Arabidopsis thaliana: one gene and its partners. The protein of the gene in region 4 interacts with the protein of the main gene of each other region in a pairwise test. Each region holds a gene or a part of one and is shown on either strand. Other genes may lie near its edges.

The links.
Region 1: the proteins of CYC3B (region 4) and CDKD1;1 interact in a two-hybrid assay, tested with the Arabidopsis thaliana proteins (one large-scale study listed by BioGRID).
Region 2: the proteins of CYC3B (region 4) and CDKE;1 interact in a protein complementation assay, tested with the Arabidopsis thaliana proteins (one large-scale study listed by BioGRID).
Region 3: the proteins of CYC3B (region 4) and ICK6 interact in a two-hybrid assay, tested with the Arabidopsis thaliana proteins (one large-scale study listed by BioGRID).

What each region holds. Positions count from the first base shown.
Region 1 is NC_003070.9:27,711,936-27,720,011, reverse strand, and holds CDKD1;1 (cyclin-dependent kinase D1;1), read right to left. Parts: upstream 5,103-8,076; 5' UTR 4,900-5,102; coding exon 4,804-4,899; intron 4,521-4,803; coding exon 4,222-4,520; intron 4,127-4,221; coding exon 4,018-4,126; intron 3,933-4,017; coding exon 3,807-3,932; intron 3,730-3,806; coding exon 3,494-3,729; intron 3,413-3,493; coding exon 3,131-3,412; intron 3,043-3,130; coding exon 2,994-3,042; 3' UTR 2,592-2,993; downstream 1-2,591. Other genes in the region: AT1G73700 (MATE efflux family protein), read left to right, coding at 382-618, 743-1,287, 1,364-1,450, 1,540-1,596, 1,687-1,925, 2,015-2,133, 2,226-2,312, 2,399-2,458.
Region 2 is NC_003076.8:25,462,430-25,467,684, forward strand, and holds CDKE;1 (cyclin-dependent kinase E;1), read right to left. Parts: upstream 3,494-5,255; 5' UTR 3,294-3,493; intron 2,734-3,293; 5' UTR 2,629-2,733; coding exon 1,216-2,628; 3' UTR 933-1,215; downstream 1-932. Other genes in the region: AT5G63620 (GroES-like zinc-binding alcohol dehydrogenase family protein), read right to left, coding at 3,951-4,135, 4,258-4,435, 4,517-4,658, 4,752-4,965, 5,053-5,146, 5,231-5,255. UniProt on the Arabidopsis thaliana protein: Involved in cell differentiation. Required for the specification of stamen and carpel identities and for the proper termination of stem cells in the floral meristem.
Region 3 is NC_003076.8:19,790,180-19,798,050, forward strand, and holds ICK6 (inhibitor/interactor with cyclin-dependent kinase), read right to left. Parts: upstream 4,230-7,871; 5' UTR 4,168-4,229; coding exon 3,737-4,167; intron 3,555-3,736; coding exon 3,528-3,554; intron 2,772-3,527; coding exon 2,577-2,771; intron 2,499-2,576; coding exon 2,429-2,498; 3' UTR 2,091-2,428; downstream 1-2,090. Other genes in the region: CB5-D (cytochrome B5), read right to left, coding at 1-1. UniProt on the Arabidopsis thaliana protein: Binds and inhibits CYCD2-1/CDKA-1 complex kinase activity. May target specifically CDKA-1.
Region 4 is NC_003076.8:3,599,627-3,608,843, forward strand, and holds CYC3B (mitotic-like cyclin 3B from Arabidopsi), read right to left. Parts: upstream 5,725-9,217; 5' UTR 5,539-5,724; intron 4,878-5,538; 5' UTR 4,841-4,877; coding exon 4,685-4,840; intron 4,602-4,684; coding exon 4,515-4,601; intron 4,402-4,514; coding exon 4,215-4,401; intron 3,989-4,214; coding exon 3,867-3,988; intron 3,745-3,866; coding exon 3,652-3,744; intron 3,485-3,651; coding exon 3,351-3,484; intron 3,183-3,350; coding exon 3,107-3,182; intron 3,018-3,106; coding exon 2,941-3,017; intron 2,845-2,940; coding exon 2,811-2,844; intron 2,718-2,810; coding exon 2,568-2,717; coding exon of another isoform or gene 2,479-2,567; coding exon 2,344-2,478; intron 2,245-2,343; coding exon 2,185-2,244; 3' UTR 1,887-2,184; downstream 1-1,886. Other genes in the region: AT5G11290 (transmembrane protein, putative (DUF247)), read left to right, coding at 1-601; AT5G11310 (Pentatricopeptide repeat (PPR) superfamily protein), read left to right, coding at 6,864-7,422, 7,534-8,783.

The DNA of each region.
Region 1 (8,076 bases), on a different chromosome or scaffold from region 4:
CCGGAGACAGAGTCTGAGGTGGTCTCCTGACTCGATGGAGAATAGAATAAGAGAAGAGCAACTAGGAGCCACTCACGTCATTGTCTATATAATCGGAAGCTTTGAATATAAAAAAAAATGCGTGGTTGTGAATTGTGAGCATCTTTCAATTGTTGTTGTCATTTAATAAAACAAAATATAATCTGCCTCAGGGGGAAGTAGAAAAGAAATTAATTTCTATTTACCACATAATTAAAAGATTTCATTCCTTAAAAAATGCATAAATATCAACGACGGCTCCACAAACCCTAAAGACTAGGAACAAAGAGAGAGATAGTTTGTTGTTATTCTATTTCTCTTAGTTTTTTTTTGACATATTTTTTTGTGAGAAACAGAGAGAAAATGGAAGATGGTGTGACGCCTCCGCTTCTGATCACAGAGAAAGACACGACGATGATTCGTGTGAAGGAGGAGGTGAAGAAGCAGCTATGGCTTTCTGCTCCACTCATTGGTGTTAGCCTTCTTCAATACTCTCTCCAAGTCATCTCCGTCATGTTCGTTGGCCATCTTGGCTCTCTTCCTCTCTCTGCCGCCTCTATCGCCACCTCCTTTGCCTCCGTTACCGGCTTCACCTTCCTCGTACGTTTCTTCGTCCCATCTCTCACGATCCAGTCAAAAAAAAAAAAAGAGTGCATTCAATAACATAACCTTAGTTATCCTCTGTTTTGTAACTTTGTTCAAAGTTTGTGTGTATGTGAAACAGTTGGGAACAGCAAGTGCATTGGAGACACTATGTGGCCAAGCTTACGGAGCAAAACTATATGGAAAATTGGGAATTCAAATGCAGAGAGCAATGTTTGTACTTCTTATACTCTCTGTTCCTCTCTCAATCATTTGGGCTAACACAGAACAGATTCTCGTATTGGTCCATCAAGACAAGTCCATTGCAAGTGTTGCTGGCTCCTACGCTAAATACATGATCCCGAGCCTCTTCGCCTACGGACTGCTTCAATGTATCAACAGGTTCTTGCAAGCGCAGAACAATGTGTTCCCTGTCTTTGTCTGCTCTGGTATCACTACATGTCTTCATTTGCTTCTCTGTTGGTTGTTTGTGTTGAAGACTGGTTTAGGATACAGAGGAGCTGCTCTTGCTATTTCGGTCTCTTACTGGTTCAACGTCATTCTCCTCTCGTGTTATGTCAAGTTTTCGCCTTCTTGCTCGCATAGTTGGACCGGGTTTTCGAAAGAGGCTTTTCAAGAACTTTATGATTTCTCTAAAATTGCTTTTCCTTCAGCGGTCATGGTCTGGTAAGTCATCAAACATAAAATGCTGCATTGTTCAGGTTCCAGTATCTGCATTTTAATCAAATTCTGTTTGAAACAGTTTGGAGCTTTGGTCCTTCGAGCTTCTGGTTCTTGCCTCAGGCCTTCTTCCTAACCCGGTTTTAGAAACTTCGGTGCTTTCAATCTGGTAGATTTCGGTTATCTTTGTCTTATGGTACTCAGAGTTTGTGTACTTCTTCTTTATATTTGATCAACCTCATTTCTGCAACTTTTCAGTCTAAATACTTCCCTAACAATCTGGCAGATTTCGGTTGGTCTTGGTGGCGCTGCAAGGTCAGTAACAAAATGTATCCAAGAGCTCATAAAAAGAAAAATCTCATCAAACCAACCTATCTCACTTTGTGTGTTTCTGTTAACTTGCAGCATAAGGGTCTCAAACGAGTTAGGAGCAGGGAATCCACAAGTGGCAAAACTGGCTGTATATGTCATTGTAGGCATAGCAGTAGCCGAGGGAATTGTGGTTGTAACAGTTTTGTTGTCGATTCGGAAGATCTTAGGTCATGCTTTTAGCAGCGACCCGAAAATCATCGCATATGCCGCATCAATGATACCGATTGTTGCATGTGGAAACTTCCTTGATGGCTTACAATGCGTACTCTCAGGTTTTGAATGATAGAAGATTGGCTTTGGTTCCTTGTTTATATATGTCCGGTTCGAATCCTGGTCAAATAGTTTTGATTTATGGTTGCAGGGGTTGCTAGAGGATGTGGATGGCAGAAAATTGGAGCATGTGTGAATCTTGGATCATATTATCTTGTTGGAGTTCCATTAGGATTGTTACTTGGTTTCCATTTCCACATTGGTGGTCGGGTAATAATCTTAAACTCTCCTTCTCATTCTCAAGTTCAAACACAAGACTAGTTTTATAGAAACTTTTATTTTGTGGTATTTTCATATTGTAGGGGCTTTGGCTGGGAATCGTAACAGCATTGTCTGTTCAAGTGTTGTGTCTTTCCTTAGTCACTATATTCACAAACTGGGATAAAGAGGTAAAACCTTTTAACTGATCGGCTCAGTTTTATATGTATAATAACTCTGCCATAATGTGATTCTGTTTCTTGTTTTACATGATTAGGCAAAGAAAGCTACGAACAGAGTCGGATCTTCAGATGACAAAGATGGTGACGTCCAATGATCAATAAACGTCTGAGGAAAAAGCAGTTGCAAATGAGCTTAATGAGTGCTTTATTCTTGTATGCCCATATGAACTTATTGGGAATTTCTAATTGATGTGGCCGTACATTGGTCTTTAGAAAACTTTACCATTGTTACATAGTTATTGAAATTCCTTGGATGTGTTTCCATTCTCATCGAGCATTAGTGTAATGAGATCAAAAATTCATATATGTAATACACCAACGTGTTCGATACTAAAAATTCTGGACTTTAAATTGGAAATGAACGAAGAATGAGTTTGGGATCAGAGCTCTCTTCTAAACATAGGCCAAAAACAGAGATTTTTCTATGAAGGGTGTACATGATGATTAGTTAATCATCTGTGCTTTATATTCTTTATTTTAGACAGAAAGAATGATTCAAACTATTCGTCATCACTAGTTGTGATATGAAAAATTTCAGGAATTACTGAACGGAACCAACCAGTAAGAGAGATCCTATAGGCTATAGGAACCTGAAGAACGACGTCAAGAAGAAGCCTGTTACGCGATATCCTATAGGAACTCGAGATCAAGTTTCCTCTTCAGATGAGATCTATCTGCACTGCAAATCCAAAAATCAAGAATTCATCAAAAGTTTTCATTTTTTAAGCTGACCAAGAACTGACTGTAATAAAACCAATTGTTTTTACCTGGTGATGGTTGGTCGGTTTGGTGGCCGCTCAGCTAAGATGGTGAAATCTAAAGACATTGGTGCTTGTCCATCATGGCTAGCTTGTCTCATGACATCAACACTCTGGTCCTTGAAACCATTACCAGACTTTCCTCGGTCAGGCATCACTCTTCTAAACTTATGTGCTGGTGACAGCACTTTAATGGCTTCAAGTTTACTATCAGATGACTTAGCATCTTGCTTGGAAACTGGTCTTGGGAGCTTTAAAGGGTCAGTAGGTGAAGGTGCAGATGTGAAGTACCTTTAAAAAGAAATCAAGGTTTGAGAACAAAACTAAATAACCTGTTCTTATGCATTATCCATAGGGGAGATTTTTAGGTACCTGTGTTTTAGAGCCTGCTGAATCGATATTCTAGACTTGGGGTCATAGGTGAACATCTTTGACAACAAATCTAAAGCATCCTCACTAACCGTTGGGAGTAAAGAACGTAAAGAAGGAGCAGGGACAAATTGATACTCTACATAATCAGGAAGGCAGATCATGTCAGGCCACTGATCTGCTTTTGGAGTCCCAAAGGCAGCAAAGATTTTGCTTAATTGATCAATATCACTGTTTCCCTGCAATGGAATAAGTAAGTTAGATAAACAAGTAGACAGATGCACTGGATTACTACACAATCAAAATGGAGGTTCACCTGAAGAAATGGTCTGCGTAATAGAAGTTCAGCAAAAATGCAGCCAGCAGCCCAAACATCAACTGCACCATCATATTGTTTTGCACCAAACAAAAGTTCAGGTGCTCTATACCATCTAGCAAACACCTATGAAAATTGCTAAAGGACATCAAGATACGAAAGATAGCAGAACTACTACATAAATAGCATTGTCACAACAAACAAAGCATACCTGGTGGGTAAACTTACGACCTGGGCTACCAAATATACGTGCTAACCCAAAATCTGCAAGTTTCAGCTGTCCATTGGGTCCTATCAACAAGTTGTTTGGCTTCATATCTCTGAAACAAATACGAATGATCATCCATAAGTTTAAATCAAAACAGACCTTATTAGAGATAGAACAAGTTCTGCTTCTAAGTTCCAATGATAGTACCTGTGCAGAACCCATTTGCCATGGCAATATTCAAGACCTTTCAATATCATTTGGAGGTAAGATTTGACATCACCAGGCGAAAGATAGAGATTACGATCTCGGATAACTGCTTCGAGATCAGTCTCCATGAACTCAAACACGATGTGCAAATTCTCCTTGTGAGGAAACGCATCAATCAACTCAATTATATGTGGATGCTTAAGCTCTTTAAGTAATTTGATTTCTCTAAGAGCTGTTACATTCACACCTTCTTTCTCTTTACCAAGTCTTATTTTCTTGATCGCTACAGTTTCTCCATTCTACAAATTGCCACAACAAAACAAATCAGCTTCCTTATACAAACTTAAACAAAAACTACACACTTTAAATCCATTAAGAACATAAAAATGCAAACTTTGACTTCTAAGAACACATATTAGTGTAAAGATCGAAACTTTAGCTGATTTAAAACCTAAGAGCTATCAGATTTAACCAAATTGTTCCCAGGAAGAGACACGTCAAAAGACACACGACAGAATTGGAACCCTAGTTTCGATGGGATCGACAAAAAATATGAAGAATTGAGAGAGGAATCATCTTCACCTTTGTATCAGTAGCTTTGAAGACGACTCCATAAGTACCTTGACCAAGAACCTCTCGCTTTAGATACCTATCAGCAACTTTCTTCGGCTGTTCCATCTCCGGAACTCTCTAATCGGATCACAAGCAATTGATCGAAACTGATCTTAATTAATTTGTTATCGTTAACGTTGAGGTATCTTATGATGCTCTGGAGAAAAAGTAGCCGTTAGAGCAATTACAGAAGGAATCGACATTTTTAGGGGAAAATATTGAAAAGTAAACGAAAAAGGAAAGAGACGCTCTAAAGCTAGAAATAAAACGAAGCTGGAAGCGTCTATCGTAACGACGTCGTTTAAAGGTTTATAAATGAAAAGCAAAATTGTTCCGGTTTACTCAACATTGACTCGTCAATTATTCTTCGGTTTAAAATGTTATAAGTTAGTGGTTAAACAAAAGATGATTGTGAATATTAACATTTTTTTAGCTGTATGAATATTGGAACATTGCCTAAACATACTTAGAAATTAAAAAAAAAATCCAAGAAAATAAAAAGCTGCATCAACAAGTTGCCAAATTAACCTTGCTCATATTTTCCGCAGCATGGACCAGGAGAACACTACCGGATTAACTTCCGTTTCATGAAGCGTGGAATCAAGCCCAAATATAAGGCCCAAATAACTATTCCGAGAAGGTTAGACAAGCAACTGTTAACTTCTGGGCCCATATAATGGGCTCATAAGAAAGAGATGCAGCCCAATCATTAAAGTTTGCACAAATAATTAGGCTGATCAGTCCACTTTTTTTTAGGTGACCAAAGAAAACAAAGTAAGCCTAACATTTGAGTATGAACCAGAAAAATTTAGGATACTTCAGGGTCAAGTATTTTGCTAGTGAACATTTTTCATCATACAAATTTTTATTTAAACAACTCAAAAAAAAACTTACACGATGGATAAAAAAACACACTTAAAAATAAGCCATTGAATTGTGAAAGAGACGAGACTCGTGAGGGTAATAAGACAAGTTCGTTGTAATAAATCTAGCAATAGATTCTGCTCAGACAGAGAAATAATTACCTGCTTTCGTGCCCACATCATCAGACTTATAATCCTGACCGTACATCAACCTATTTCACTATTTCGTGTTGAAATTTCTAGTTGTTAGGGCTAACAAATGATTTAGAATTAGGTCACCAAACGGAAACACTTGTACATTATTTTCTAAAAGAAATAAAGAATGGTCGGCCAAATTCATTTTCAAAGTTACATCTTAAAAATGTAGTGGACTAGTAGTTGGCAGGAACGATAATAATTGTTATTTTTATTATCTTTACCCAAAAAAAAAAAGAGTGAAGCACAAAAGCCGAGAAGGACGCATGTGACGCGTAGGGAATCTAACACAAACAATGTCAGACCCTTCCCATGTCTTTTCAGATGCACCCACCTGTTCCTTTTTTTCTTTTCTTTTTATTCTTCTATCACGAATATCTAAACCACTATAATTACGACTCTCTATCTATCATTTCTTCCAAAACATGACGTGGCCTCTTCTCTCTCTCTCTTTCCTTCTCTCTAAGTATGTTTAGGGTTAATAATTAGGGTTCCTCCTCTCTTTTGTTCTGTCTTTATATCTCCTTCATAGCTCTAATGTAAGAGATTTACCTCTTTTGGTGTTTTTGTTAATCCACGTTCTCATCAAAACTTTCTCATTGTTTTATGAAGAGTTAAAGGTCTTTACAGTTTGCTTATGTCAGATCCATAATATATTTGACAAGATACTTTGTTTTTCGATAGATCTTGATCTGACGATGGAAGTAGAGCTCCTTAAAGTTCAAACATGAGTTGAGCAGGGTAAAGAAAAGCTGCTAAGCTATGGATCCCATAAGCCCTAATCCTTGTAAAGTAAAAAAGGATTTGGTTATATGGATTGCATATCTCAGGAGCTTTAACTTGCCCTTTAATGGCTTTTACTCTTCTTTGGATTGAAGGGAGCTCTACATCTTCTTTCACCTTCTCTATTTTTTATTTTTCTTTATTTCTACTCAACAATTATTTATTCGGATTCATCTTTAATTTTCCGTTATAATTTCTTTTTGGTAAGGATTATTCGCTATAATTTGAGAATTATATGGTTATTATTTTGATTCCGAAGCAATGTTTAGCGTGTTATTTGTTTTTCTTGTAAAAAACTAGGGTTTATGCAACTGCCTCGGGTAGATGAGAAGATCCTTGGTTCTTTGGAGACTTTTAAATTTTGCAATCTTTGCTGCCATATGCACTGACTATCTTTGTATGATTATTCTCATATCTAATCTAACAACTAAATCCTGTTCTACAATCACAGTCCTTTAGTTAATTGCGAAAATAGTTTTCTGTCATATATGTAAAATGATGATCGGATCGGATTTAAAGGACCAAAGATATTCACTAACTTATACGATTCATTTGTCAACTCGAGTACTTGATTCCTGTCTTTACACAATGAAGATTATAAACTTGAAGAACATTAAAAGTTAATAAAAGTTAAGATTAAGATATAAAAATAACACATATCAATAAATTGAATGTCTTTTCGGATCACCTGTAGGAGTTGGCCATATAATTTGAAATCGAACGTAAACTACAGCAAATTTTGTTATTATAGTTTGATTGATAAAGAAATGGTTTTAGGCAGAATAATTGAAACTGAACCCTAGCTAAACAATTTCTTTTAAGGGAGTCATCATGTAAACCAAATTTCACTTAAAAAAATGATGTTTTAAACATATAATTCGACAATTTTTAGTTTACTAAAAAGATTATGATTTTTGTTTGTTTTAAATTTAATATTGTTATACTTCCATAAACAAGTTACATGTGCTACAGTTGTGAGTCTCGAACTTTGAGTCTCCAACCCAAAAGAAATCGAGATACAGTTATGTGCTAGTTTAAAGAGTAAACTTACTCAAAAATATCCGAAAAACACAGGTAAACTGATCCCAAAAACAAAATTCCGAAAACTTAGATCACCATGTCGATCCGGTCCAAAAGTTTTCATAAGAACTATCAACCAGCCTTCGATGTTTCAGACTTTCAGTCTATGGTTTCAGCACAATAAGATAATCTTGTAGACACATAGTATGTCTTCAAACATGAGGTCTCTTGGTGTTGTATGTGTAGAAACTTATTTGGCTGGTCTTGCCTTCGTTGCTAAACTGGGATGTAGACATTTTCATTATTTTGATTGTACTTTCGAAGTTTTCAAAATTGGGCCTCGTTTTTATGACCCTTCATGGAAAAAATAAAGTTGTCAATC
Region 2 (5,255 bases), about 22 Mb from region 4:
TGTAACCATTATTGGGTTGTAATATTTTTAGACTCTTATACTTATCTACTAAAATAAAGAAGACACAACTAGCTAGTTTGTAGCAAACGTAACGATCACGTTAATTAACAGCCTAATAATTGTATTATGGCAACGTCGTGGGTCCATTGTGTATCTTTAAATCATAAACCGTCTCATAACATTGGCCGCCATATATTTAAGAAATAAGAAAAATACAAAACTAGCTTTCTGACTTCTGCTAAAGACAAAAATAGCTAGGTTTAATTAAGAAGAAACTGTGTGATTGTGTCGATCTTGGTAGGTCAATGCTTCATATTTATACTAAATTGCTTGCAAACAGTGAGTTTTATCTTTAGCAGAAGTCAGAAGTCTGTTTGTGACTTCCACGATGCAGAATCACGTACAGTTTGTATAGCTTGGTTCACACATTTCAGGCTAGTTCAAGGTTTGTGGTTTTCTTATCCACTTATTTATTGTATTTGTCCTGAAACAAACAAGCATATATATAACTCTTCTTCGTTCTTTTGAATCTTAAATAAAAGTCATAATAATAGAAAAACATTTCTCATTCATTTGTTTGTGTTGTATATATATAATATTTCTATTATGAAACTGATGGTAAGGTGAACAAAAACAAAATTTTGATTTGGAAAAGTATTATGTTCGTAATAATTGGATCACTGCTTACGTAGTATAATTGAATACAAGTTTGAAAACATTATTTTACTAAAGTATAATCTTTTCAAACTTTAATAGCAATGTTTAAACTGTGTGGTATTAAATATTCATTAGGTCTATGATTGATGATGTAATTACATTAGATTCTAATGTATGTTGGTGGTAAATAGATAAGACTGGCAGGTAAAAAAAAAACAAATTTCATAAACAGTAGAAACATCACCAAAATTGTGTTCATAATAACTGTAAATTGTGTTCATAATAACTGTCTCATTATATATATTTTTCACTTGGCAAATCTCCTATTTACTACGTTTTGAGAAATGATGTTAAGAGAAATGATGATCTAATATAATTAACAAATACTTGAGAGGATGTTTATACAAAAACTACAGAGAATCCAATCCATCCATATGAATAGCAACATTCCACATGCTGCATTACAATCTAACTCTACTCTATAAAGCAAATCGCAACGCTTTCTTCTGCGGCAAACACACAGATTCTAACCCGAGACTGATGATCTCGATTTTACCTTTAGAGGCGTCTGGATTTGTTAGGAGGTGCGTAACCTGACATACCCATTCCGGGATCTTTCCTTCTTAGCTGTTGCTGCTGGTGCGGTTGAGCCATCCCGCGCTGCTGCTGCAGCGGAACACTCGGGTTAAGCCCTGCCTGTGCCGGGAAATTATAAGCCATCATGCCTTGAGATTGCTGCATCCTCTGCATGTTATGTGCAACCATTGGTCTTGGCATCGATCTACTGCCCATTCCATGAGCTCCTGCCATGTTCCCTGCTACGTTTCCTGCTGCTACTGCTTGAGGCGGATTGATGCTTGTCGTGCCTTCGAAATCGGTGTTTGTATCTACTGGACGAGTTGGGTAATTCACATTCTTCTCCATCGGTTGGCTGGCTACAAATGCGTTCCGTCCTGGGAGAGGATCCATTCGGAAATACTCGTGTTCTAGTGCTTGTGAAGCCGTGATCCGCTTTAGAGGATCATATTCCAGCATTTTGGATAACAGATCATACGCAGGACTTTTCTGATTCAGGTGAACCACGTTGTGGAGACCCACACTGTCGTATTTGTGAGCTTGAATGTGTTGAACATCATTTTGCCAGTGTGGAAGGTTAACTAGTGTTGGCCATTTATCCATCGTCGGGTGGCCTAAGATCTTGAATATCTTGTCAAGTTGATCTAACTGGAAAGGGTTTTGAGACGATTTCGCTTCTGCTCCTTGAAACAACGGTTTAAGAGTTAGTAACTCCGCGAATATACACCCAACTGCCCACATATCAACAGCGCTCGTGTAGTGCTTCGAACCAAGAAGCAGCTCTGGTGCTCGGTACCAGATTGTGACCACAACTCCGTTATCCGATAGTGGTTTCAACGGAGCTTGATATATCCTTGCGAGCCCGAAATCAGCTATTTTCACTATTCCGTGCTCTTCTGCATCACCCATAACCAAGATATTCGACGGTTTCAAATCTCTGTGTATAATCCAATTACTGTGAAGATAGTTCAATCCGTTGAGAAGCTGCCAGAGCAAAGACTTAACTGTGTATGTGTTTAACGAATGGCCGACTTTGTCTCTGTGGTGCCTGATGATTTCATAGAGATCGTACTCGGCATAATCAAAGGCAAGATACAGAGACATGTCTGCAAAATTGATGTGGACATTCACAAGCTTCACGACGTTCTCATGGGAAATCTCTCTAAGCAACATGATCTCGCGGATAGCAGTCGGGGAAACTCCATCTCCATCTTTGGACTGCTTAAACTTCTTGATAGCAATAGGTCTTTTAGGCGGAGTCTTGGTTCTAGCCAAGAAAACAAGACCATAAGTGCCTTCACCAATCTTACCAACGAGATTGTACTGTTGCAGCCACTCTGGTTTCTCACTAGTGCTGTTTGAGCTGTTGGATCTACTGGAACTCCCATCTCCCATTGCTTTTTAGTATTATTCTCTACCTCAATGTCCTTACCATGTGAATCGGAAAAGGGGTAGAGTCTAACAAAACAAAACAATCTTGGTTTCCTCTTTGTAGTTCTCCTGAAATTTGAACAAAACTTTGGAAAATCAGCCAAAGGAATCAAACCGTACATGTAATCTATCTAGATTCTAGACTCAATCAAGTGATCCAGAAAACTTACAAGCAAGAAACTTCACAGAAAAAGATCTAGGACTCCTCACAAACCAAATTCCAAAAGGAACGTTTCAAAATTAGCAGACAATAAAATTCACATCCCTCAGAAAACTTCATATGAACAAATTCAGACACAAAGACTCCAAATTATCAGCAATTGACGTCTTATCAAATCTCATATTCAAAATAGAATTCATCTACATCGAGACACGAAAGCTCGAGACTTTACTTCAAAAGATGGAAAAGGGATCAATCAATTCAGCAGAAATTACCAAGCTCCAAAGACCAATAACCAGAGGAAAACCCTACAAATTCAATACCCAGAGCTACGGTGCCCTAACCTAATCAAAGACCAAAAAATTTCGATACCACTTTCAAATTAAAAACTTCGAGGCCTTATACGATCTGTTTTTACATTTCTCAAAAATCGACGATCAGGAAAATAGAAATACGTAAAGGATCTGACCGGATAAGGCGGTCGGATGAATGATGGGAAGAGGAGCTGAGCTTGGAGAACCTCGGAGATGGAGGAGAGTAGACAAAAGCGAGAAAATTCCGGTGAGACGTCACGGAAGGGAGAAGATTGCGTTTTCCAGAAAACGGTGACGTTCCAAGCAGCCGACGCTGAGAATGGAAACTAGATTTGTAATTTTTTTAGCCACTTGCTCCAACTACGCTATTTATTTATTAGTAAATTCATTTATTTTTGTGTTCAAATAAGTAATTTCATTTAAATCATCGATATACATTAGTAGATTGGATATTTCTCATCAAAGATTTAATGATTTATAGATAATTTTATCAAAAGAGAAATAAATTGTGTTTTTTTATATATATGTCAGTTATTAATATTCTTAGAAAGTAGAAAATTGTGAAAAGAGGGAAGAAATTAAAAATATTAACAGTATAGAAAAACAATAAATGTTGGAAAGAAATGAAAAACAGTAAAATTATAAATTTTGTCCAGTTACTACAGTTTTTTTTTTTCCTTTTCACTGTCTAAACAAACACAAATATCAGATTAACAATGACCTTGTCTGAAGATTGTAGCAACTAAAAATAGACCTCAGTGAAACAGGTGTGAAGCAGTCATTCACAAACCAGAATCAAAAGGCTATATTGGTTATAGTATCTCAACAACACCTCGGCTCACGATTTTGCCTTCGTTGAGATCTTGAAATGCTTTTCCTGCATCTTCAAACTTGTATTTACTTGAGACTGCGTTTGTGAGATTGAAAATCCCTGACTCTGCCAATTTCACTACTTTAGGAAGATCCTGTCTTGCTCTTCCTCCATAAGATCCTATAACTTTTATCTTCACAAAAAATTGGAAAAACAGAACAAAAAGAGATTCAATATCATGATCTTAAAAGACAATCTCAGTACCAGAGACTTTCTTCTAACAAGGCCGAGAGAGAGAGAGTAAGAACCCCAAACCTTTCTACGAACAAGTCGATTTATGTCAATTTCTCCAACGGAACCAGCTTGTGAGAGTCCAATCATCACAGCTTTTCCACCATCTTTCACACTTAGTGTGCACTGCATGAAAGTTTGAGGCTTTCCCAAGGCTTCAACAGCAACATCAACACCCATCCCACCGGTTATTTCCTACGAAGAAGAAACAGTTTTTCATATTTATATCAATCAATGGTTCATCTTCACAAATAAGAGGTCTTGAATCAACCATACTCTTATCCTTTCAACAGCATCTTCTTTAGCAGCATTGACAATATGAGTAGCACCAAGTGTCTTGGCCTTCTGTAATTTATCATCCTGAACATCCACAGCAATGATATCCGAGGCTCCAAAAGCCCTTGCGATCTGCAAACAACTGAAGCAACAACTCAAAGATGGTTATGGTCATACAAGAAGCAATAAAACCCAAATCCGGTAAAGAAAAGAAAATGCCACACATTTAACATACCTGGAGCCCACACCACCAATTCCAATAACTGCAATAGAATCTCCAGGACGGATCTCAGCAGCATGAGCCATAGCACCATATGCTGTAAAAACAGCACATCCCAGAATGGCAGATTCAGAGTAGGGCAAAGACTCTGGTAGAGGAGCTAAACCATGAGCTGGTGTAACACAGTACTCAGCCATCCCTCCCATACTATACATATACACTGGTGAATCTGCCAGAAATTAAGAAATGTAATTAGGTAAAACAATCACAGTTCTCCTAATATGCCACCTGATGTTTAAAAAGTCTTCAAATTTACCATCATGTCGCAAAAAGAGACGAGTTTCGCCATCGTAAAGAGTTCCCTTGGCTCTGTTGTAAGCAAAGAAGTCTTCACATAGATCATCATGGCCCTGTATCCAAATTAAAATATCAGCTAAAAAGCTACAGTTCTCAGATTAGAGAATCCGATGAAAGCAATACAATTTCGTTCTCACCTTAGCACAATAAGAACAGGTTCCA
Region 3 (7,871 bases), about 16 Mb from region 4:
TCTCCGATGATCTGCTGGTGACTGGTGAGAGTTGAGAAGAGGAAGAGTATTACTATTATTTGGGAATCTGTGAGTTTGGGATCTTACACCAACCGCTTTTTTGGTCTACTTAAGTTGTGTATGTCTGATCTCATCTATTGATGGGGTCGGAAATTAATCAGTGGCCAATAATCAGCAGTTAATCAAAGATTCCGTTTTCTTATATTATTTAAATGAATTTATTTTATATATTTAATTAATGTAGAAACTAAAACAATTTATAATGTTACAAAGAAAAAATGTTATAAAAAATCTTAGTATTGTATGTTTTTCCTTAAAATAAAATAAATGTTTTTAGTAATTCATGTTAGCTGATAATGTTTCTACTAAAATCATGTTAGCTTATTGATTTCCATGATGCTTATAATGTTTATACTAAAATCATGTTAGCTTTATGTACATCAATTTAGATAAAATCCAAACGTTTGGTGGTTTCGCCCTCTTAGACGTATGATCAATCGTGTAGACGGCTAGATGTTAGGGTAGACCATTCTAATTGGGCCCAACCATTCACTCGGTCCACAAGATCCGGATCTTTTCTTCAGTTGTCGATAGTATTTAGTTTTTTCATGAACTATAGCAATATGGACACGATGATTCATGGGAGGAAAGATATGGGGTTGTCTTCTTTAAAACTTGATGGCGCTTAAGATAAAAACAGTCAAAGAGACTTGTCGGAAGGCCAGTGTAACGAAAGCAGTGTGGTTTTAGTTATAGGCTAAATTGAATATGAATAATTGATCATAGGCCCAGTTTGTTGGTTTATGATTTTAGAAAGAATTGATAAGAGAAGGAGAATGTTTTGAGGTTGGAACTCTCCGACAGATAAATATGATGGGAAGAATTATTCACGGTCGTATATTTTGACAAGGGACCAACGGAAAGGAGAGCAGTTGCATGCATCACTCGTCTTTACACTATTTAGAAAGAAAATGAATCTTGTTTAGTGATTCATTTTAAAAAGTTTTTCTATGTGAACCTCATTCGCTAGAAGTAGTTTAAATGTATTTGCCTTAATCCGATCTTAGAACTGGATATTTGATATTTCTGTAATCAGTTCGAATGTATCTAACTATAGGGCTAAAACACCGACTGTATAGTTCTTTCGACATATATAGAGTGTGTACTTTGCTTAATGGAACCATAGGCATGTTAAACGAGAGCATTTAATGTTGAAATTCACTTCTTTTTTCAATGCATGTTTTGACTCACATTGCAAGGCCTATGGTTGGTGTTCAACGAGAGAAAGAAACTATACATGACAAGTTAAAGACATTTATTTTGAAGGACTAACCCAAAAGGAGAACGAAAGAGAGCTAGAGAAGAAGAAACAAAAAGACAAAAAGGCTTTCGTAATCAGTGCTCTTCCTTTTTGGCTTTTTACTACCAAATAGTTTAAAAGAGTCAAACAAAACATCGAACAAGCTGAATTCAGATACCCCATTGGTCACACAGTTGATGTAAGCGAATCTATATGTCCCAAAAAACATGATTTTTATAGTCAGTGAGCCCGTGATCAAACAAGCACCCGTGTACATACGTACACCATGTCCATATGTATAAATGTATAATATAATGAATGTATCTGAACGTTTCATGCATTCACTTTTTCACTTTTAGAGATTAAAGAAAAACATAGAACAATGATTGGGTTCGAGATAAGATTTCACAGTTTCATCACACTGGTTTTGCCAATTTCCAAGAAATGTAAAAAAAAAGATAAAACAACAGAGATCTTCTCAATGAACACTGTCTCATCTTTTTGTCAGTTTCTTGTTAATAATAATTTGATATTCAAGATTCAAAACACTCTTATCTCTTTACTAATTAGTACAAAATTCACCTTTGTGTTTGTACTTTTAACTCTGAACTTACATTACAGTATTTCAATGTAAACGTCAAAGTATTTACACACACATTCACGTGCGTCATAATTATGGTAAGAGAAGAAAAGGGACCAATCTTGTATAGTTGAAAGAAAAAGGATATGATTCAGATTTTTACACCTACCAAAATTCACACGTGAACCTCTCAATTGGGTCTCTTTCTTCTGCATCTGAATCATTTTTTTCACTATATGCCAAGCTTAAACATGTTCACACACATCCCTCTCAATCATCATCATTACATATAGCTTTGAATAAACATGAGAGATAGATAGAAAAACAAACACTTGAAAGAAACAGATGAGAAAATTTCACTAAGCATCTGAAGAAGATTAGTAGTACAAATGGTGTGAGGTTTTAAGGTCCCTAAGCTACTCTCAAACTTGTTCTCTAACCACATTATTACTTAAGATTACACGATTTCTGATGTTTGGTTAGTCTGTTAACTCCATCACATTCTCTAACTTCACACCATGTCTTTTGGAGCTGTTTCCTTTTGAACTTCATGGTTTGACTTGCACCCATTCGTAACGTCCGCTGAGGGGGATATCATTCACAATGTCGAAGTTGTACCTGAAGATTATTGAAAACACATGAGTGTTGTTCACCCTCTTCGTAATGACACAAAAATAAAATAAAGAATAAGCTTACTTCTCCATGAATAGCCTCTGTTGCTGCTGCTCTGCATATGCAAAGAACTCCTCCATTTCACTAGTGGTCGGGATCACGTTATCTTGTTCCCTTGTGTACTCTTTGGTTGCTCTGCACATCGACCTCGTGCTAGACCCTGGTGTAACCATGATCTCCATATCCTCAACAAAGTTACAAGGCGTGCTCTCCCTTGTGCTGCAGAAAAAAACACAGATAAAATAACTTCAATAACATTATCACCACAAAGACACTTAACCAAATCAAGAATCAAACCAAAACCAAACATCCAGAATAAAAAAGAGGCTTGGTTTAAGTAAACAACAAAAGCTAGAGACTTTCTAAGTAATATGGTCCCATAAGATAATAAATAACAAAGAGAAGGCAATCACCACATTGTCAACTAGCAGCAGGACGGTTACCCCAAAAAACAGAGGATCCTACAAAAGTATTCCCCAAGTATGCAAAAACCACTAGGTCCCATGAACATGACACCACAGTACTTGCATTACACTTATGAGGAAAGTCCCAATTCTCATATAATCTTACATATTAAAAGTTTCTGACCTTTATACAACAACCCACTTTTGTAAAAACGAAAACCATGTGTTTAAGTAAACCCCCAATAACCAAATCCCAATATTGTATACCCAATGTACAAATACTTCTTATGCCATTAGCCTAATAACAAGGAGAATCAACATGTTCTTAAACAAATTAAAATACACAAAAACAGATCAGAGTTTCACCAAATTTGTAACAAATAATGAAATACATATATAAAACGAAAATAGCTTTGACACATTCATTGATAATCTCTGCAATGAAGTACACATGGGACATACAGCAATAAATCAGATATAATGTAAATCTAACACCAAAAGAGACTTATACGGAGAAGTAGTAATAACAAAATTCAGTACATCACAAGAGAGTCAATTCATAAACAAAAACCAAACCAATAAGGGAAACATAAAAAACCTATTTTTCTCTTGTACTAAACTATTTTCATCCCCCAAAAAAAAAAAAATTGATTTGAAGCAAACAACAAAAGTTTCAGAGAAACCTAACTAAGATTCAAAACTATGTAAGACTCAAAACTAAGATTATTGGATAAGACAGAACACAAAAGTCGAATTGGTAATAAGAAAACATTAGGGCACAAAAAAAAAAAAAAAAAAACAACGAACCTGTGTCTTGATTCAAAACCGAGACTGTTTTCACCACAAGAAACTTGGACACTCACGAAATTGTCAAAACATTCATCTTCATTAGAGCTCTGAGCTACAGGAACCGAGTTAACCGAGTCAACGCGAGACCTGGAACCAGACTCTTTAATTCCCGATCTGTGAACTCTCGGCGGCTGTTTCGGTTCAATCAGCGAAGAGGGTTTCTCGAGACGGCGGCTACGGAGCTGAAGATAGCAAGAAGAGTCGTTAGGTAGAGCTGAATCAGCGGCGGAGGAATTAAGCCGCTTCAAGGCTAGGGTTTTAGCGGCTCTGGTTCGAACACCTGGACTTGGAGCTGTTGCTTTAGAGACTTCCATGACGCTGATATCGCCAGTTATCTTTGATTTCTTCATGTATTTCCCCATTTTTTGAGAGAGGGAAAAGAAGCTTGAAAGCGGAAAGAGAAAAATGAGAGGGAAAAGCTTTGAGGGAGGAGAAGAAGAGGGAAAGTGAGAAAATGGGAAAAAGGTTTTCGAGTTTTGTGGGGTTAAAATAAAACAAAGGAGAAGAAAAAAAAAGTTTACCTTTTTTATCTAATTGTCAAAAACAATATTATTATTATTATTATTTTTAAATAAAACCCCAAACTCATCATTATTATTTGTATTTTCCGTTGTGTTTTCACTTTTCATAGAATAATCGTCAGTTTTACATTTTTGATTTATTGATAATTTTTGTTGTCGAATAAATTTAAATTCATCATTTGACTAAATCTTTAACTTCTTAAAAATTAAACTGCTAATTAAATTCATCATTTGACTACGAATTTTCTATTAAATATAACGTGTATTGCATACGGCTTTTCTATTTTAAAATAAATTCTCATTAATATGATCGGTTTGTTGTTAAAAAAACAATTTTCATTTATTTAAATTTTATCAAATAATTTCATCATAAAAAGTATTGAATTTTTTTTATTGAAACCATATAAACTTAATAGTACATACTTTTAACATGTAACAACAAACAACTAGTTACATACATTCACATAGAATAAAAAATGTTTATACGAAAAATAAATTATTATTATGCACACGAATAAATATTCAACTTAAGTATTTAAACATAATATTTTTTCTTTGAAATTGACAGACTTTTTCCAAAAAATCGAGTCAACGGAAATTGCACCAAAAAATTGCTAAGTTTACAATTTTGGTATATAATGATTTTTATTTCTCAATTTAACAAAAATAAATCTAGGACTATTTTCCATAGTTAAATTACCCTTTGAACCAACGCGTATTACACACGGCTTTTTTTGTTGGATATACATGTTTCTTTTAAAATAATGATTTATTATTTATCATTTTTATCAAATATATTAATCATAAAAATTATTGAAATCATATAAAGTTAATAGCCCATACTTTTTCATTGTATATCAATAAATCAGTAGTTAAATACTTTCACATATAAGAGAAAATATTTATGTAAATTAGTAATTATTCTTACATTATGCACACTAATGAATATTAAACTTACATATTAAACATGATATTTTTAAAAATACATTGATAAGAATTGTTTCAAATTTCTAGTCAACTGACATTTCACAAAAAATCACCAATTTTTGTATATCATTATCTATATTTCTCGATTAAATAGAAAAAATCCGGGATTTTTTCTTTATAAAATTACCATGTGGACCCATAATTTATATATTTTCTATCTTTTAAAATCAATTAGTCAATCAATCATTATTACATACAAAAGTTTCACAATTTTAAGTTTTAACACGCATTGTACACGATAACATGGCTTCTACATCACATAAATATATGATCCGACAATAGTTTACAAAGAAGAAAATAAACAATTTCTTATTTACCTTAAAACATAAAATAATAAAAAATCAATATGATTTAATAAAACATGTTGATCGAAAATTCCATGGAGATTGTTGTAAAAACCCTAAAGAGACGTCTACATATACACATCAGCTACTAGTGATGATTGCTTCTTGTGATGAATTTTGATTCATTGGCATTTTATGTGGTATATGCAAAGAAAGGTATGATTTCAGTAATAAATTTTTGATCTAGGGACAATTTTCAATATTAATCCTCATTTGTTTGCTAACAACATTTATTATGCGGATATAATCAAAATGTATGTGACAATTGGGCCGCGCGAAATATAAAATACCAATCAAAACCTTTAGGAAGGAATCATCTGCAACATGTTACTACGGAGAAATGCAAGCTGGAACGAGGCAACAAAGATGAAGGTATGTATCCCACCATTATAAATTAAAATCAAATTATAATTCGGATTATACGTATCCGTAAATTCATTCTCTGGATCTGGATTCACCTATCTTGGATATCCGGTTTTCTGGATCGGATCGGAAAGAATTCCGGATTGGATCTATGATTCCGAATAATAGTGCCATGCCTCTCAAAAATCCATATACTGTATCTAAAATCTTTTAATGGCAAACTAAATATTAAAATTCCACTTTTTTTTTGTAATTAAATTTAGTTTGGATATACATATATATTAAACCACAAATTTGGATATCTGAAGTGTAGATATTTGGAAACCACGAATTTGGACCTAAATATTTCAAAATTTCCTATGTTAAAAAACAAAAACAAATAAATTACTACTTCCATTTAAGATAATTAGAAAATCCATATAGTGTTTGCTGACTAAGATTCCTGGTCCATACTATTAACCACATAATCCCCAATTATTAAGCTCAAGCATTAAGGTTCATTTTATTAAGCTCAAGCATTAAGGTTCATTTTATTAAGCTCAAGCATTAAGGTTTTGCGTGGCACAATTTCTTTTTTTTTTCTATTCAGAAATAAATTTACAACCAATTTTACTTCTTTTTTTCTCTTTCATGAAAAGATCTTCTTTTTGGGTTTTATTTCAAATACAAAATAAATAAAAATTTAGATTTATTTTTGTTTACTATTTTTACAAAGTTCAATATATTTCATAAACTATCTAATGAGGATTTCTTGTATTTCACTTTCAATTATAAACTATGTCTAAACTGCATCATATATATGTCCAAGAGCATATGTATCTTATATGAACTTTAATTCTTTCAATATATCCCACTTACAACACATTAGGAGACCATTATTAGAAAGCGTATCATATCATTGATGTTAATTTTGTTTCTTGGTTTTATTTCGAAAACTGGTAGGTTTAGTGAAAATATAATCTTTCTCTCTAGCTTTTGATACTCTTCGTGCTGCCTTTGTATCACTTTTGGATATTGTACTAGAAAAACTGAGCTTAGGAATTACATTTTTCCAAATTGACTCCAACGTGAAAATTAACCAATCTTTAAACTATGTGCTCCCAAACTCATTCTTTCCAGTGCATTTTCGTAGAAGATGTGTCATCTATGTACCATCTTTTCCAAAAAAAGTTATCATCCTAGATTAATTCATGTCAGTTTCTCTCATGAATGGCAATGGTGAAGACCCTGAAAAAGATTTGACGGTAATTTTGTTGGGAACAGATGGTACAAAGTGGATATAATTTTTTCTACGAAAAACACATGAGAATTCGAGTGGAAAAGGGTTGGGAAGAATTTTCTAAAGGAACGGCTTAGAGATTAGTAACTCCTTCACAATGGATCAGTCAACTTGGAAATATCCAACCTGATGCTTAGTGTTTCGAGTACATAGTCCGAAAGTGACACACGGCAACAAGGAGGGTATTTGTAAAATCTAGAGTATTTGTTTCCACGGAACTTAGCAATAGAAACAAAACCAGAAACTAAAAACTATATGTCAGATGAGTAATTCATCTTTAATCATCTAAAACCAATTTAAAACATTAGCACAACAACAATTGTCATGTTCTACTAAGAAATCATGATCAAGTGTAGCTTTGACAAGTGACTCTAAATTACAATGTCGATACCTACCCCGACCATAACTAGAGTAGTAGATGTAGAGAAGATTTGGTGTGTCGAGTGAAAAACATAGCGAAAAACAATCTACATCATGAGCACGTTTATAAATGATGGAGAATCTCCTACTTGTATTGCTCAAATAACGTTTGGCAATCCTGCCCATGATATCTTTTTCAGGATTGCCAAAAG
Region 4 (9,217 bases):
TGACCTTCTGCGATCTATTCACCTGCCTTTGGTTTTGAGTTTTCCTGGAGGAAGCATGAGGATGATGGACTCTGTACTGAGTGCAAAAGAGATTCAAAATGCCGGTGTTAAGCTCCAGCCCGCAGATAACAACACCTGCGCACTTGACATAAGCTTTGCAAACGGAGTCCTCACGATTCCCAAAATCAAGATCAACGACATCACAGAATCTCTGTACAGAAACATCATCTTGTTTGAGCAATGTCATCGTTTAGATGCTTACTTCATTCATTATATGAGGTTCCTCAGTTGCTTCATAAGATCTCCCATGGATGCTGAGTTGTTCATTGACCACGGGATCATTGTGAACAGATTTGGAAATGCAGAAGACGTTTCGAGGCTGTTCAATAGCATATTGAAAGAGACAAGTTACAGCGGGTTTTACTATAAGACAGTCTATGGGAATCTACAAGCGCATTGCAATGCGCCTTGGAACAAGTGGAAAGCAACTCTGAGACGTGATTATTTCCACAATCCTTGGTCAGCTGCTTCTGTTGTGGCTGCCTGTGTACTTCTCCTTCTTACTTTCGTTCAGGCTATATGCTCTATATTAGCTTTATGACTTGTGAGACAGTAAAGGATAATCAAATGTTGGGAAAGAGGAATGTTATATATGCAGAGAATCTTGTAACAGAAGCAACATAAGATTACCAGTTATGTGTGTGGGTTTGTTGAATGTTGTATGTGAATCCAGTCGCCATTAGACTGAGATTAGGGAGAAAAGAATCTGAGGGATGTGAGGAAAGCTTCTAAACTCACTGAGATTAGGGAGATTAGAGTCTGAGGGATGTAAGCGAAGATTCTAAACCCATTTGTTTTTTTGTGATTCATTGATACTTTCATTGTTTCTTTGTTTTTCATCAATACAATTGTGGATAAGCAAATATGCATAGAGTTTATATGTTGAAAGCTTATCAGTCATTTAAAAGAAACGAACAACATAGTTGTGTCCACTGAACTAGAACAGACATTAATTTACCCCAATAGTTAAAAAGTCCAATAGAAAGAACATAAAAACAAGAGACCATCATTTTTAAGAAATAAAACACAAAACACCGATGAGCCGTAGTATGGTATGGCTAGAGCTCAACTGGTCTTAGCTTGATCTGTGGTTGAAGGCTTGCAGACTCTTAAAGAGGAAACAGAGGAGGGATGATTAGTAGTGGTATCCCTAAGTTACGACACACAAGCTCACATCCATCACAATTGACCCATAAAAAATCTTATAATAAATCATCCAACACAAATTCACGCTTAAACAAACTCAGGAGCAACAGTTGTACTAGTAAGGATGACTAGCATAAGAAGAGAATAAGTGATCATGTAAACAATAACACTGTTTTTACCATTTTATAGTGAGAAGTTACCGGTTTAGGCGTCCTGATCTTTGTAAATGAATCTCGTGCGCAATCACGGCGGTAGAGGCTATTGCCATACAGAAAATTATAGGTAAGTCGACTTTGAGAAAAGTATCTGAAGCGGTTTTAAGTCGAGCTACAGACTTAGGGATTTCTTGTTTGTTTAGTGGAGGACTATATAAGGAACTGTAGCTGTGATAACTCAACTTAAGGAACTGAAGTGGGTATAGTTGAGAGTTTTTAAGGAGGAAAAGTGTTGGCGTATCTTCGAATTTTAGGATTTGATTGAATTTGTGGAAGATTGAAGAACTTCAAGCCATGGAAATACATACATTGAAGTATACCTGAAGACTAATTTGACGAATAAAATCAAGCATGGAGGAATCAGTAAAAAGGGGATACCAAATGTTACACGGGAGACGTTAATTGTAGATGGAAATGTTTCCATATGAATATAGCATTGCGAAATCAGAACAAACAACATAACAATCCAGCCATGAACAGTGAAATTTATATTAATTAACACTTTTGTATTCGTTTTCCAAGTGCTCCTAGGTACAAAATCCCGCAGGATAGTAAATAGTTGTAGCAATGCGATTAGAAAAATTCCATAACATTTATTTAAAGCTAAGTGGTGTGACAAGTAATGGCCTACAATTAAGGCGCCACACAATAGCTACAGAATTACAGACAGACAAAACTGGCAAAGAGACGACATAACATCCAATGTCTGAAAATAGGTATTTTGATCACCTGACTTGGGCTCTGTTTTCGATGTTGCTTGGTGTCATCTTGAGAATAGTGATGTGACTCGTTTGGGAGATGTCAGCTTTGCCACGCTCTTAAACTATCAAAGTCATACAGAATTAAAACCAGTTCAATCATTCATTCACTTTTCTTCAACAATCAGTAGTTTGATTTAACGGTGTTTTGTAGAGAAATGTACCTTTGGTTGGTTGTATTTCTCACGGGTGGCAGCGAGAGTACAGCCACTGGTGTTGAGCTGCAAGTCCTCCATGGCGAGAACTGTGTTCTTCAGCTCAGCTACCTCATATCTGGTGTAGTGTTGCAGAGTAGGGTTCTATAACCAAACATCATTCTTTTTATCAGCACAAAAAAGAGGCAAACACAAAAACAACCTTTTTCAAGATTCAAGAAACATGAGCTGACCCAAGGATGGTCAGTTTGGTCGAGTGTCCATCGGGCTAGGAAAACAGCTGAAGCAGCAATTAGTGATGGCAGGAACCTTAGGAAACTATATTCCACCAGTGTCAATTCGGCGAGATAGTTTGCTAAATACTCCAGTTCAATGAAAGGCACCTGCAAAATAATTATAAGAAACAACGCACTACATTCAGATTCCAAGTTTCTGTAGAAGTGAGGGTTGATGATAAATGGATCATGGTTTCATACCTTGTACGAAGCTTGAGCTGCTTTAATGAACCGCCTGAAAAAACATTGGTAAGATGAAAACTCAGTGGTACTATTTTTAAACAAAGTTGGAAAGATATGATGATTCATAGTTCTGCCCTTTAGTATTTACCTCAGAAATGTTTTGGTGGTAGGAACCGATAATCTAAAGTGCACAAAATTTAGAATTTGAATCTCCATGCTCAGCACCTGAAACAAAGATTCCAGTTTATATATTTTCATCAAGAATCTGTACACATTAAAGATACCGAGAGATGTGTGATTTGAATGTTAATTACTTCTGGTCTTGTGTATGTGTTGGCCGTAATGAAGCAAAACTCCTCCACCCCTGGTGCGGAAAGCTCTTCATATTTTCTACAAGGTTCAACAAAAATGTATAAGGAAGATAAGCCTTACTTGTTTCTCTACTTAGCAAGTATACATATATATATAGGTTCGCGCTCTCCCAGTGATGGAAATGCTGTTCTCATTGCTATAACCTGAAATTGACAAACACACACAAACAACAAAGTAGGGACTTACGAAGCTATAAGCATGCAAGAGACACCAAGGAGCTGGAGTCTTTGCCTTTCAATGTAACTGTTGGACAGAAACCGGTCGATAAGATTCACTGTAAGGTAAAGCGTATCTGGAACCAGCTTGTAGTCGTCAGAAACCTGAAAATACCACGCACTTCACTATTTTACTCAAAAGTACTCTCAGTTTTTGCTCTAATTTTTGTAAGAAAGCTATGTATAGTAAGGTTTAGTGTCCTATTCAATAAGAAACATAATAAGATGATGCCGTTATTTATATATATGAGCTAAGTTTGAAGGTAACTAACTTCTACAAGCCAGTCAATCAGAATCTTTCTCATGTCTGGGTCGATATCTCGCTGCACAAGCTCCATATAATTAGCCAAGGGTCGTTGTTGAAGCTGCAAGAAAAGAGAGGTTATAACTCCAACAGTCTTCATATAAGTAGTTATATTGAGATTAGTTACAAGAAGTTAACAGTGGAAAGATGTAAAGCAAATATTTGGATCATGTAATTCAATACCTCTGCAACATGTATGTTGTCATATATATCAGCAGCATACAAGCTGCAACACTGTGGATCTTCGACGTTGGAATCAATATCTACAACTTGAAGTAACTCCATGACACCTGATCCATCTTCTTCTGCACAATCCAGTATAAGATACATACCTTAAGTAAGTTTGAGAAATTCATGTTGGTATAGAGTTCACTTGTTTCAACCCTTGACAACACAAATTTAATGGGAATAACTAATTTCAGCATTCTGGAGTCCAATGCTTGATTTAAAGTTAGCGAGTGATCAACATGACCTCGGAAATGAGGAGAAGGTGGTAACTATCATTATTTTCACGAACACTGTAGTTCTTACGTTGCTCAGTAATTTCTTCATCTTTAAAGTTTGAAAGAGAGACATCTTGGGCTTCAGCCATCCTGATCTTGGACAAATCTTCTGCTAATTTTGATTTTTCTGTATGCATATCTACCAGAATATCCATGGCACTGTTAGCACCTTCCTTTGCTGCTTTTTTAGGCTCTTTTAGACATTTTCTGTTTGCCTGCAACGTGATGTCAACAGTAATAAGCCCAAAGGGAAAGTTTGAAGGCTATATTACCAACATAAGATATAAACCAACCAAGACAATGAAAGCGTATCATCTGAAATCTTTACCTTGATGTTGCCTCCCTTTCGAAGTTCTGAATAAATAATATCTGCAGAGGTATTACTCACATCCTTAAGTACTGCACGTCTCTTTTGCTGATAAACCAGAGGCAGGAAATTAGAGAGTTTAGCATCAGCTCTTGAAATTCATGACTTTCTATAAGAACATGTTTCAGTACCTGTTTAAAAGAAGGTTTTGTTGGAGGTATTGATACTCCTCTTCCCATGGCTTTTTTAGCTCGTGATCTCGTTATTCGTACAAAACTCTCCTGTACATCTGAAGTAGAGATATTTTCTTTGTTTGCATTTGGATGCATCGAAGAAGAGCAATACATAATTTAGTCTGGAAAAAGGCCAGTGGTTAAGCCAAGCCTGCAGAACAACAACAGTTCATAATCAAATGTCTATCCTTGCCTCCATCAAAAAGATCAAGCAATGTTCAAATGCAGCATAAATTTCAGGAAGAAACAAGCATATAGTGGCAATTAAAACGATTTCTTCATACTCAAATTTAGCCACAGATCTCAATTCCACACGATTCTAACTATTGAGTAAATGTCAGCTTAAACAAGCAACCCAGCTTATCACAACTAGTTTCTATGTTTCCTTCACATTAATCTGCATCGATAGATCCAATTTTCAAGCTAGTCATTTCCAAATCGAATTAAGCATTGTTCTTCATAGCAAAAATCCTTTAAAAGACCGATTACTTAAACAAACAATGAGCCATAGAGTACACACACGTTTCATAAAATCCAGTCAAACAGATAAGAACGATCTCAACAATTTCAATTTCCCAGTGATTAGCCATGCTTGAAGAACAAATACGCAGAAACCAAATACAAGCGGAAACAACAAAGAGGAATCGATCATCTCAATCGAAGACCAAAAAACATTCGCTAGAGAGATCGATTAGACTAAAATCCAAACTACTATTAGCTCCGATCGATCAAAACGCAGAGCAACAAGCTACGATTCAGAGAATCGGTAATCAAACAGGAAATTGTGAGCAGACGAGAGGTGATGATGATACCTGGCTCAACAAATAGGTTTATGAGTTTGTGAAGGAGCTCTAATGGCGGTAAGAGAAGCTCAAGGAGAGAAGAGAACGCTCCAGAGAGAGAGAGAGTGTTGAAATATGTGTAGGTGGGGGAGAGAGCGGAGAGGAGCGGGGGAAGCGACTGACTGAAAAAGGTACTGTTTGAAATTCGGATTTTTTTGGATATAACAAAAAAAAAAAATCGGAATTTAAAAAATCTTTCTTTGCTTTTTTTGGAAAAATCTTCAATTTCTTTGGTAAAAAATTGTAAGAATGATTTCTATAATTTGGTCCAAGTTACTATACAAGGAATAGTGCAACTGTCTTTTATTACTACACATATGTTGGAGCTGTCAATTAACAAAAAAAAGTTTATATGTTATGGTAATTTGTTTGTTTTTTAAGAACTACACTACTTCGATAGATAGACAAATTATTGGTCGAGAAATTTCCGACAAACATAAAATGGTAATGACTATTATTTTGAAAACAAAAAATATATTTACCTTACGTAAATTACAGTAATTTCTAATTTGGAAACGAAAATACATTAATAGACATTATATTTACATTAAACGATTCTGTACGATATTATCACCGCAATGTATCTACCATCATTCACGTTTTTAATCGTTGATTTACTTAATCAAATTAAAAGATGTTAATTTAAAATTCATGTATCTGGAAAATACGATCCAAATACACATCAACAAGTGCTCGAGTTCAGATCAATTATAAATTTTTGACATTTTTCTAATTATACACATATTTTCCAACTATTTTACCTTAAAATCAATTTAATATATTTGGTCAATAATATTTATATGTTTATTTCTTTAAAGGGATAAAATAAATTTGAAAAGGAAATGGAGGGAGAAAATAACCACATCCATTGCCTTGCATTCTCACAATTATTTCGAAAGATATTTATTCACATATAGAAATTCAAACATTAGTCAAAAAGGCGTTTCTACCAATTTAACAACATTAATTATATGTATTTGGACATATACGAATCACACGCATACACGGATTCTTACTTGCAAAATAATAAATTGTAAATTATCCAAAAAAATAAATGATAAATTGTATATACATCTTTATAAAAAACAAATTAAATACGTGTGGAGAAGGACTAGAAAGACAATTTCTAAGTTGTATGAGGATATATATCAAATATTCTATATGTAACTTCATTTTAAAATAATGGGCCATGTTGATCGATATTTTCAGTTAACAAACAAAAGCCCAAATGGCGCGTAATCGGAGTGTCCTAATTTTCTCGGCGGACACTTAATTCTAATAAACGGCGGCAGAAAATGAACTCTCTGTTCACCGCCTTCCGCCGCAACCTCCTCTTAAACCCTAATCCTCACCGCAACTTCTTTCTTCATAGATTGTTATCATCATCTCGCCGTTCATCCCCGCTCATTCCCGTCGAGCCTCTCATCCAACGGATACAATCACCCGCCGTACCCGATTCTACATGTACTCCACCGCAACAAAACACCGTCTCGAAAACCGATCTCTCTACTATATCGAATCTTCTCGAGAACACTGATGTTGTTCCCGGTTCGAGTCTCGAGTCAGCTTTAGATGAAACCGGAATCGAACCGAGTGTTGAGTTGGTTCACGCGTTGTTCGATCGGTTAAGTTCATCGCCGATGTTGCTTCACTCAGTGTTCAAATGGGCGGAGATGAAACCTGGGTTTACACTTTCTCCTTCACTTTTCGATTCTGTTGTCAATTCTCTATGTAAAGCTCGTGAATTTGAAATTGCTTGGTCGTTGGTTTTTGATCGAGTGAGAAGCGATGAAGGATCGAATTTGGTTTCTGCAGATACGTTCATCGTTTTGATCAGACGGTATGCTCGTGCTGGTATGCAGATTTCTTGTAGCTTCATCAATATTGCTGATACAAAGAGCTAGCTTAGAGTAATAGAAGCATAAAGCTTTTGACTTTAATATAGTTTTTCCAATTTGCTTGTAGGTATGGTGCAACAAGCTATACGAGCTTTTGAATTCGCTAGAAGTTATGAACCGGTTTGTAAATCAGCTACGGAACTTAGGTTGCTTGAGGTTTTGTTAGATGCACTTTGTAAAGAAGGTCATGTTAGAGAAGCTTCAATGTATTTGGAGAGAATAGGAGGGACGATGGATTCGAATTGGGTTCCTTCTGTTCGGATTTTCAACATTTTATTGAATGGATGGTTTCGTTCAAGAAAGCTAAAGCAGGCAGAGAAGTTATGGGAAGAGATGAAAGCGATGAATGTGAAGCCGACTGTTGTTACTTACGGTACTCTTATCGAAGGGTATTGCAGGATGCGTCGTGTTCAGATTGCTATGGAGGTTCTTGAAGAAATGAAGATGGCAGAAATGGAGATTAATTTTATGGTCTTTAATCCGATTATCGATGGTTTAGGAGAAGCGGGGCGGTTAAGTGAAGCTCTAGGTATGATGGAAAGGTTCTTCGTTTGTGAATCAGGTCCTACTATAGTGACTTATAATTCACTAGTGAAGAATTTCTGCAAGGCTGGAGATCTTCCTGGTGCTAGCAAAATACTCAAGATGATGATGACACGAGGTGTTGATCCTACCACGACTACATACAACCATTTCTTCAAGTATTTCTCAAAGCATAACAAAACGGAAGAGGGCATGAACTTATATTTCAAGTTGATTGAAGCTGGACACAGTCCAGACCGGTTAACGTATCATTTGATCTTGAAAATGCTGTGTGAGGATGGGAAGCTGAGCTTGGCGATGCAAGTGAACAAGGAGATGAAAAACAGAGGAATCGATCCTGACTTATTAACAACCACAATGCTTATACATTTGCTCTGCAGACTCGAGATGTTAGAAGAAGCCTTTGAAGAGTTTGACAACGCAGTGAGACGAGGGATTATTCCACAGTACATCACATTTAAGATGATCGATAACGGGTTGAGATCGAAAGGGATGAGCGATATGGCGAAGAGACTATCCAGCCTAATGTCGTCTCTTCCTCACTCGAAGAAGCTGCCAAATACATACAGAGAAGCAGTAGATGCACCGCCTGATAAAGATAGAAGGAAGTCTATTTTGCATAGAGCAGAAGCCATGTCTGATGTGTTGAAAGGTTGCAGGAACCCGAGAAAACTCGTGAAGATGCGTGGATCGCACAAAAAAGCTGTTGGTGAAGACATAAACCTGATAGATGATATCAATGAACGAAATGGAGATGCAGGGGATTTTGAGTGAGAGCACTCTCTTGTAAGTTGTAAACTTAAGGTTGGAAATAGGCTCGTAATGGGCCATTTAGTCCTAGACTTCAAGCCACAATTTTGATTCTAAGAACCCAAGCATCTTGATTTCTAGCGAGATACAAACATCTTGTTATCAAGGACATACAACCTGAAGCAAATGGGATTCAAAGAGAGAAAAAAAATCAATTTTTTTAATAAACCAATTGATTTTACTTTGTTTATGTCAAATAAATCAAAATTAAACTAGACACAAACCAATTTAGTGTAAGCAAAACTATGTAAGTAAACAAAAAAAAAATTGCATTCAAGTTTCATATTCTTTAGTTAGTCCGAACAAAATTTCAGGCAAATTAAACCAAACCAAACCAAACCATAAAAACGGTCATATATTTGAATTGAATAACCAAAACAAAACAAAGAAAATGTCAA